Mus musculus: one gene and its partner. The protein of the gene in region 2 interacts with the protein of the main gene of each other region in a pairwise test. Links are inferred from orthologs where the notes say so. Each region holds a gene or a part of one and is shown on either strand. Other genes may lie near its edges. The genes, in order: Gtf2a1 and Nfya.

Region 1 (4,364 bases), on a different chromosome or scaffold from region 2:
AAAGTCAAACATTCATCCTATAGAAAAGTTCTTTATTACTGAACTATTCTTTTAAAAAGAGACAAACTCACAGTTTTTAGTTCCATCAGGACTTGTTCATCCACTCCGTCATCCAGAAAAATGTCTCGTACGTCATTAATAACATCTTCAATCACAGATCTATACAATTTAGGCTTTAAAGGAAAAATAAGATTCAATAAAAGACTGATTTCAAAATGTTATAGTAGGCTTTGAGAAATAATTAAATAATTATTAAATACAAGCCATTTGGCCAACTATCTAAAATTTATTTTAAATTGTGACTTTAATTAAAGATACTACAATCCTAAGCCAGGCTTATCACTCTGGAGGCAAAGACAGGAGGATATCAGAGTTCCAGGCCAGCCTGATCAATATACTGAGACACTGTAAACTAAATTTGACAATGACAGAAAACTGTAAGGCTGGGCAAAGTAGTTCATAAACCAAAGTTCTTTATGCACAGTCAACACAAATTCCAGTAATTTCCTTGATGGTGACCAAAATGTCTACCATCATGATTAATAACAGTTCATGGTCACTCCTGGTTCCTACTAGCCCTGCTTGATTTAACGCCTGTCCCATCTCACAGCCTTTCCAGGTCTTAGATGTTGGGGAACTTTTTGTTCACAAGTCGTCTCCTGGTCATACCCAGCAGTCTTATCAGCGTTTGATTATACAAAAGCTACCTTGGTTTTTTTCCCTGTCCTGGTCTACCTTCAGGCTACACCACTAAACTCTATACTGGCCATGTAATTTTAAATTAGTAGGATCAATTTCCAGCAAACCAGATGTTTTAATGTTTCTGAAATCAGTTACCCTAAAACCCTTTCCTTGGAGAGTCCAACACTTGAAGCAGGCAATGCCCTTCTCTGCTACTATGTAATTAATCATTCAGCAACCAGCCTACAACTTAACCCATTCAGAAGCGCCGTTGTTGAAGGAAAAAGGGAAATGCTAAATTCTAAACTTCACTGCAGCAGGCTTTTGTCTTTATGGCATACAAGGTCATTTAGATCTGTCCTTTTAAAACAGTATTCCAAACTCTGAAACTGGCGAATTAGAGACTGCATGTAGCATTAGCAAGTGATTAATAAAGGTTCCTTTTAGAAGATGCTAATTTTTAGGCACAATATTAGGTCACCTAGGTGGATTTTTATACTAGATACCATGCTAGCCACTGGTAAAATTAAAACCACCACTTAATCTTTAATTCTTAAAGCTCAGTTTAGGCTGTGCCTCTACACACACATCAAGCAATAGATTGTGAGCACAGATCTCACAGGGGAGAGTCAGTCACTATTTCTTTGAAAAGCTTCATGCCTTGGGTATTAAGAACACACCACCAAACTCAAGTCCTCCTCCGGAAACATTTAATGTACAACGCATTTTTTTTTTAAGCCGAGAATGTTGACCGTATCTCCTCCAAGGGGGCGGGTGGGGGGGAGGAAATCATTTTATCTGATCTAAAACGATTTAAAATGAAACTCTTATAAAGGGAAGGGAGAAAGAACAAAACGAGGCTGCAATTCTGGCCTACTTCCCACTACAAACAAAGGCAGTACACTCTAGCGGCCACAGCAAAACACTCGGGTCCGTGACAACAGCCTCCCGGCTCCGGAGCGAAATCTCGGCGTGAAAGGAGCCTAGAAATAAAATGAGCTCCGCACGCCGGCTCCTCTCGCCTCGGGAGCACGCACCTCCCAGCCCCGCGCTCAGCAGCTCTCACTATTTAAAGCCGGATCTGGTGTTTAAATGGAGAGGCGGTGACGTAGGCCTGAAAAGCACCTTCCCATCCTGGCAGAGTCTATATTAGAGAGCGGCAATGGCTCTATATAAACAGGGCAGCCAAAGGGAGGAGGACCACAAGGCGCAGGCACTGAAAAGCAGGGTAAGCGGCCGCAGCCATGATGGATCGACCCGAGTCGCCAACGGTATAGTGTCGGGCAGCCGCAGGCTGCTCTGCGGCGTTTGGGACCGGGCAAAATGAAAAAAAAAAATTTTTTTTAAAAATAAACAAACAAAAAAACAAATATTGTGCTTTATTGTCATAAAAAGAAATCAAGAGATGGGGTGGCCTAGTGATCACATTGCGTTGGTGACTCTTTTAAAAGGTTATTTTTATGTGACTGCTTTTTGCAAACCTACGTGATCGCAAGTAACCAAAAAAAAATTTTTTTTTGCTCCTTTTTAAAAAAGGGAGCAACGGGAAGAAGTAGGCAAATCTCGAGGCGAAAGCGGGGACTCTTGGGCCATTCATGTAGGCTTTGTTTGTTCTGGTGCTTAGGCTAGTCGAAGATACCGCGGGGGTTTTGCTTCCCCTTCGCCATTTTACCCACTGGGGAGGAACCGAGATAAGTGCTTTCCAACCTTCATAATTTTTTTGTCTTTTTTTTTTTCTTTCTTTCTTTCCTTTCGGAGGATTAGTAAAATCGGCCCCAAAGGAGGCTCTCCCAAAGCACCACCTCCGGAGAGCCCCCGAAGGCACGCCCGGCCTCGGCGGTATCCGAGAGGCTTCCCCAGACGCGGGGCTCGACCCGCAGCCGCTCGCTCGGGGACTGGCCGGGTCCGGGTCCCCGCGTGGGGCCATCGCCCGCCCGTCCGCGCCCCGGGGTCGGCAAGCCAGGGCCCCAACGGCCTGCGTGGCCCGCCCCGCGGCGCTCCCGGCCCCCGCCGCCCTCCTCCCGCCAGTCCTCGGCGTCCCCCCCGCCCGGCCAGGCCCGCGGCGGGCAGCGGCGGCGGTGGAGGGCGGAGGGGACCCGGTCGGGAGCGCCGCCTCGCCCGGGCCCGCCCCCGCCCGCCCGCCCGTCCGTCCGTCCGTCCCAGCCAGCCGTTGCCTGCCGCCGGAACCTTCGCAGCCCCCGCCGGCCACCGCACCACGTCCTTACCACGGTGTTTGTGTTTGCCGAGTTCGCCATTTCCACACACAACACAAACAAGAGGGAACGAGATAGAAAGAAAGGAAAAAAAAATTTAAAAAAAAAAAAAAAAAGAAAAAAAAAAAAAAACAACTGAGACCCGGAGGGTGACCCAAGTCACCCGCCAAGAGTGGGGCAAAAAAAAAAAAATCTCTCAACAAAACCGATCCAGAAGGAGTAAGAGGCGGGAGAGCAGGAGGAGGGGGGCACTCCTCCCGCAGCTAAAAACCTCGAGAATCGCCTAAAGAAAAAAGAAAAAATGGGGGAAAAAATTAGCCACGACCCCTTAGGGGGTTAGGGGGCGTCACCCGCTCCCCACTCGGCGCCGAGGAGGGAAACCAACACCGGTCACCGCTCCCCGCGCCACCGCTGCCGCCACCGGCTGCAGCTCCAGCCGTCCGGTCCGCCTGCTTCTCCCCTTTATATAGCGAGCCAACGAGCTGCGCGAGCCGCCGCCGCCGCCGCCGCCGAGAGACAGGGCGGAGGGAGGGAGGGGCGGAAAGGGCGGGGGCAGCGGGGGGCGGGGCCGAGCGCGAGACACCGCGAGAACCGCGTGCGCACGCGCGCCCGGGGCGTCGCCAGGTTTCTTTTCCCCCCCCTCCCCCCCGCCCCGGCTGGGTGGCCGGGTGGGCGGGGCCGCGGGCCTGGAGTAAAGAAGGCGCGCGCCGCGGCCTTTTCCCCACCCCCCTATGGCTCGCGCGATCACGTGGTCCGCACCCTGGCGGAAGCGGTCCGTGGCGGTGGTGGTGGCGACCGGTTGGACCGGGAGGCGTCCTCCGGAGGAGGCTGGGGTATTGAGGGAAGCCAGCGATCAAGGGTACCTAGCGCTGCGTCGGGTGGACGCGCAGCCGCTCCGGTGGAGCGGAGGAGTGGGAGTAGCCGCCGAAGCGATAGGCTTCCCCGGAGGATGGCTGCGGAGGGACGGCGGGTCACGTGGCGCGGCTTCCGGCTCCCGCGCGCTGGGGCTTGGGACAGTTTTTAAATGCGGAGTCATCTTTTGATTCGTGAGCTTAGGTCGGATGAGGAGGAAGTTCGCGCCTCTTGCAAAGGACAGACCTCGTGAAGTTGTGTATAAGTCCAAAGGCTAGGAAAGCTTTGTTCTCCCTCTGTCTACTTTACAGAATTAGGGACGCCTGTAGGTGTTTCCAGCCGTTTGTCTGTACAAAATTAAACTATTAGGTGGTTTGGCTAAAATGCCCCAAAGAGTCAGCCTCTACCAACTCAAAAGTACTTTAGATGACTTCTTAGGGTGGTAGAAATGACGAAAAAAGAAAAGGAACTCGGATACAACTACTACATATTTGACTCCCTGACATACATTACTGCTCTGTTTTTAATGTTACCAGAGTGCTGTGATTTGCACACTGGCCAGCACACAGTGACTAACCACATCTGAAACCCATGCCGTTGACTCATCAACTTGCCTGG
Region 2 (4,484 bases):
GATGAGCTAGCTCTACGACCATTTTGGGGATGACCAAAGTTCTCACCCTTTTTTTCAAGTGGGACTGTACAGGTGTGGAGAGCTTTAAAAACTCACCAAAATACAGATATACAAGGATTAGATTTTAAAGTTTTTTTTTTTAAGATATTAACAACCTCTGTATTTTACCGCTTCCACTAGCCCCAAGACGCTTTCCTATAAAACTTTCTTCTTGGCTAAATGTCCTAAGTCTGCATCGTCTCAGATTAAATGCAGAATGGAGCCTGAAGTGGGCAAGAGGGCTGGAATAGCTGTAAGGAACATTTGGAGTTGACTCAGTTATCTTGCTGATACAAATGCTCCACTCTTAGGCCATTGAAACCTACTGGGCTTTGGAGGCAGCTTCAAACCCAGCAGCCATTCTGCATTGATAAGGGAGTGGTGGCGCTTGGAGCACAACCCTCAGGTTGCCCATGGTGCCGACTTCTTGGCTCCAGTGCGGCCATATGCTCCTTCCTCCATCAACTCAGCCAGCAGAACTGTGACACAACCTGACACACTTCCTTTCCTTACGCTTTCTGTGCCCAAGTTTATGACAGAATTGAGCCAGCTGGATTTAGTCTGTCTAGCTCTTCTACAGACTTGTGAATGTGTTTTTGAAAGTGAGAATATGAATGAATAGGAATGAGAATGGGTTTATTCTGGCCTCTGAGACATTCTCTTCCATAGCATTTCCTGCCCATTTACATGGCACAGAAGTAGCTGGCCAGCACTTAGAATCTTCAAAAGCTGAAATGCCCAGAAATGCTCCTACAATAAGCATCTGATCACCGCAGTCCATCTGACCTGGCATCACACACACACACCCAGCTAGGGCCTTTGAAGGCTCCAGTGTGCTCCTTGTCTCCACTAAGGAGATAGCATGAACTAAATAACAAAACAAGTTAACTTCAAAGAGGCTTTTAAGTCTAAAAAGGAACAAAAATGTGTATTAGACTCCTAAAGGGAAATACAGTAAATGGAGTTTGGGGGACAGAGGCTTTTCCACTGGGGACAAACCAAGGAAAGCACTGGGAAAGGGTGTCATGTGAGTTAGGTTTAAGTCTGAGATCTCACCCAGATGAAGGTAGTATAGGGTGAAGTATTTCAAACAAAGGGAGATGCCTGGGCTGTGATTAGATTAGAGAAATCGAGAGTCTGCACTACTTTTTCTTAAAGTGCAGATGCAGAGGAACCAGTGGAGGCTCCACAGGTCTGAGTCACAGTGACTGAGGAGAACTGCCTTTTGTCCACAAAAACATTTGGCAGTTTTGAGGTGGACATATGCATCCATTTTTTTTTTTTAAATACCAATCAAAGTTAGAACACCCAGTCCAAATACAAGACTATGGGGTAGAATCCTCAGGTCAGCAACCTTCACCCCCAAGGTTAGGGGAGAAATCCACTCTAGATTAACTTTTAACCTCCAGTCAAAACCGTTTTCAAAAAATTCCTTTGTAAGACCTGCAAAGGTTTTTACCAACTGGACTTTCCCGCCTAAACTCAGTACTCCCGGCCTTTCTGCGTCCAACCGCACTATCTGTTCCAGTTACTCTTTTCAGTCTTTCCTCTCTGAGGACATCACCCTCCATCACCAATCAAAAGCGTGGCGCTGAAAATAGGCTTCCTCATGTAAAGTGCACTTCTGGGTACTGGATCAGATCCCTATGAAACACTAACACCAGTCAATCTCCACCGAGCAGACATAGCTCCTAGCCCTACTCGCTTGCAGCACTTGGGTGACGTCCGCCAAAGACTAATAGCTAGCAGTCCTTGGAAGACTTCCTGTCCCCCGAAGGGGGAAAGAAAATCTAAGCACGTGTAAGTTTTAAAACATCAGTTGAGAAAACGTTCGCGCGGGATTTCAAGGTGTATTAGAAAAAAGAGACACGAGTGGGCCGAGCTATTGAGTGGAGAGATTAAAGGAAAACAAAACCAGAGAGCATCCAAGGGAGAAAAGATCAAGGGAGGAGACAGGGATAATAGGAACTGCGAGATGTGTGCCCCCAATCATTAAGGATGCACAAGGGTTATCAGTTCTGCAACAGCGGCGTTTCAAACACCGAGACACTGAGCAAAAAGAGGAAGAGTGCTTGGTTGGGCTCCAGCACGGAGGTGTGCCGGCACCGCGGGCTGAGCGGGGAGGAAATGACGAGCCAGAAAGGGGTGGTAACGGCGCCGGCCCGGGAGCCCCGGTGGCGGGCCGAGAGGAGGGGCGCGGCAGGCGCGCCAACGGCCCCGGGGTGGGTCTTGGGAGGCCGCGCCGCGCGTCTCAGTCTGGCCTCGCTCCGGATCTGTAGCCCCAACTGTGCAGAGCTCAGGACACACGGGCCTCGTCGGGGCCCGGAATGTGGGGACACACAAGGACAGGCCGTAGGATGAGGCTGGAACGACGTGGGGAAACCGCCACGGTCCGTGGCTGGGCGGTCAGCCACCTGACCTCTCGGGACCGAGGATCGGGGACCGGTGGCGCATCCGCCACCGGCCCCCGGAGACGATCCAGATCCCGAAAAGCCTGGCTCCAGGACGCCGTCCCAACGCTGGACGGCCCCTGCAGGCCTCCACCAACTCCGAGCCGGGGCTACTGGCTACCCAGCTCGGGCAGCCTCGGCTCGACTCCCGGGCTCGACGGACGCCTGGGCCTCTCCTGAGTGGTCAGCGAGACCCGCCAATCGGGGCGCTGGGGCCGGCTCTGGGCCGCTGGATATTGGCTCCTCATACTCACCGTGCCTCGCTCCCCCGGTTCGCTGCCCGCGCTGATTGGCTCCAGTACCGGACCCCGAAACCCAATCAGAGGCTCCAGCCGCCGCTGCCGCCGCCACTGCCGCTGCCTCGCAAAATGGCGAATCTGAACAAAGGGGAATCGGGCCTCCCTCCAACCGCCTTCGCGCAAGCGCCTTCGAGACCACGCCCCATAACCCCGGCCAGCCTGGCCCCGCCCCCTAGGAAGAGCACCGCGCAGGCGTTCCAGAGGCCACACCCACTTCCTGGATTTGACACCGCCTCCCGCCAAAGGCCTACGCAGGCGCCTTTCACACGCTCCGTACGCTGCTGCTTAAACACCTCCCTGAATTATATACCACGCAGGCGCTGACACGCCCCCCTGCCCACCTATTTCTAAGCGTCCACTGGGACCCACCCTCTGGGGCCGAATGCGCAAGCGCTCTTCTTCTCCAGTCGGGGTCGGCATCTCGGTACGCATGCCTGAGCGGTAGCGGGAGCCTACGGAATTTCCCGCCGGAAATTCTGAAGCCCTTACTACCGAGAGCGGGCGCCGCTACCCAGCTAGAGAGGCTCACTTCCGCCCCGTTAAGGGATGGGGGCGGCCATCTTGAGTGTGCGTACAATCAAAAGGCTTTGGCGGGATTTGTTGCGTGTCGGGACTCTTCTGTTGCTTTCCTACCTACGAGGGTTTCATCCCGAACCCTTCCCTGCTTGGAGGAGGGCCTGCTGACGGCCGATTCCTTTGCAGGTGAAGGATGACCCCCCAGTACCCACTTTTCTGCGGGATCCCAGGGTTGCCCTCCTTAGGGTAGGAGGAGAGACGGGGAAGTCTTATCAGACCTTCCTTCCTGTACCTCCAAGACTGGTGGTGATCTTCCCCTGAGAAGCAGTTCTCGGCTCACCCTGCCGCTCAGTGTAACTGTGGCCAGGTCTTTCCCGTTCTAAGCTATATTCTCTGGGAAAATTCTGGACTGTCCTAAACCTTCCCTGCTAGAAGTAAGGAGGTGTGTCTTAGGACCGCCTTTGCTTCGGCTCCTGGAAAGCTGTTTTGTGTTGCCTCTTAGAGGCTGAGTGAGCTCACATCCAGAAAGAATACCTTAAGGAGGTGGGGAAGACTAAATGGGTTGTCAGGGTGATCTGAACACGCTATGTTCGGGCTGCCTGAGCGGTATTTTTTTACTTGCTTTTCCTTTTCATTAGCAGAAGGAACTCTTAAATTCTGGAAATAGCGACTCAGTAGCATGGCCACCCGCCTTAATGAAGATCCAGAAGGAAGTCGAGTGCGTAACAGCTATTAAATTTATCGGTGAAGTGAAAATCAGAATAATTGAGGTCAAAAGCATAAACACTTTTTAATTAAACCAATAATTGGATTCTCGCCCCTCCCTGTTTGTTTCTCTCTAGCTGATTTACTTAGAAAAGGCTAATACAACCCTAGGCAGATAATAACCATCCATCACTTTCCTTTTACAGATACTTTAAAATATCGTGGTTAACTCCTAAGTTGGGAAGAGTTGTCTTTAATTCAGAGTGTCAGAGAAGCAGGGTTGAAGCAGTGGGGGTGGGGCTCTGTTGAAGATCTGAAAGGAGAAATAGTTTTCTGTTTTTAACCTTTTTTTTTTTCCTTTGCACGTTTTAGATCACTTACGTGAAAGGAGATCTTTTCGCATGTCCCAAAACAGACTCTCTAGCCCATTGTATCAGTGAGGATTGTCGAATGGGTGCTGGAATAGCTGTTCTCT

What was found.
Region 1: the proteins of Nfya (region 2) and Gtf2a1 interact in binary tests that used the Homo sapiens proteins (3 or more experiments, as listed by UniProt). The two-hybrid records come from large-scale screens. The link is inferred for Mus musculus from reciprocal best matches to the Homo sapiens genes NFYA and GTF2A1.

The regions. Positions count from the first base shown.
Region 1 is NC_000078.6:91,586,629-91,590,992, forward strand, and holds the start of Gtf2a1 (transcription initiation factor IIA subunit 1), read right to left. Parts: upstream 3,022-4,364; 5' UTR 2,937-3,021; coding exon 2,907-2,936; intron 174-2,906; coding exon 72-173; intron 1-71. UniProt on the Homo sapiens protein: TFIIA is a component of the transcription machinery of RNA polymerase II and plays an important role in transcriptional activation. TFIIA in a complex with TBP mediates transcriptional activity.
Region 2 is NC_000083.6:48,406,883-48,411,366, forward strand, and holds the start of Nfya (nuclear transcription factor Y subunit alpha), read right to left. Parts: upstream 2,939-4,484; 5' UTR 2,744-2,938; intron 1-2,743. Other genes in the region: ADP-ribose glycohydrolase OARD1, read left to right, coding at 3,984-4,022, 4,382-4,484. UniProt on the Homo sapiens protein: Component of the sequence-specific heterotrimeric transcription factor (NF-Y) which specifically recognizes a 5'-CCAAT-3' box motif found in the promoters of its target genes.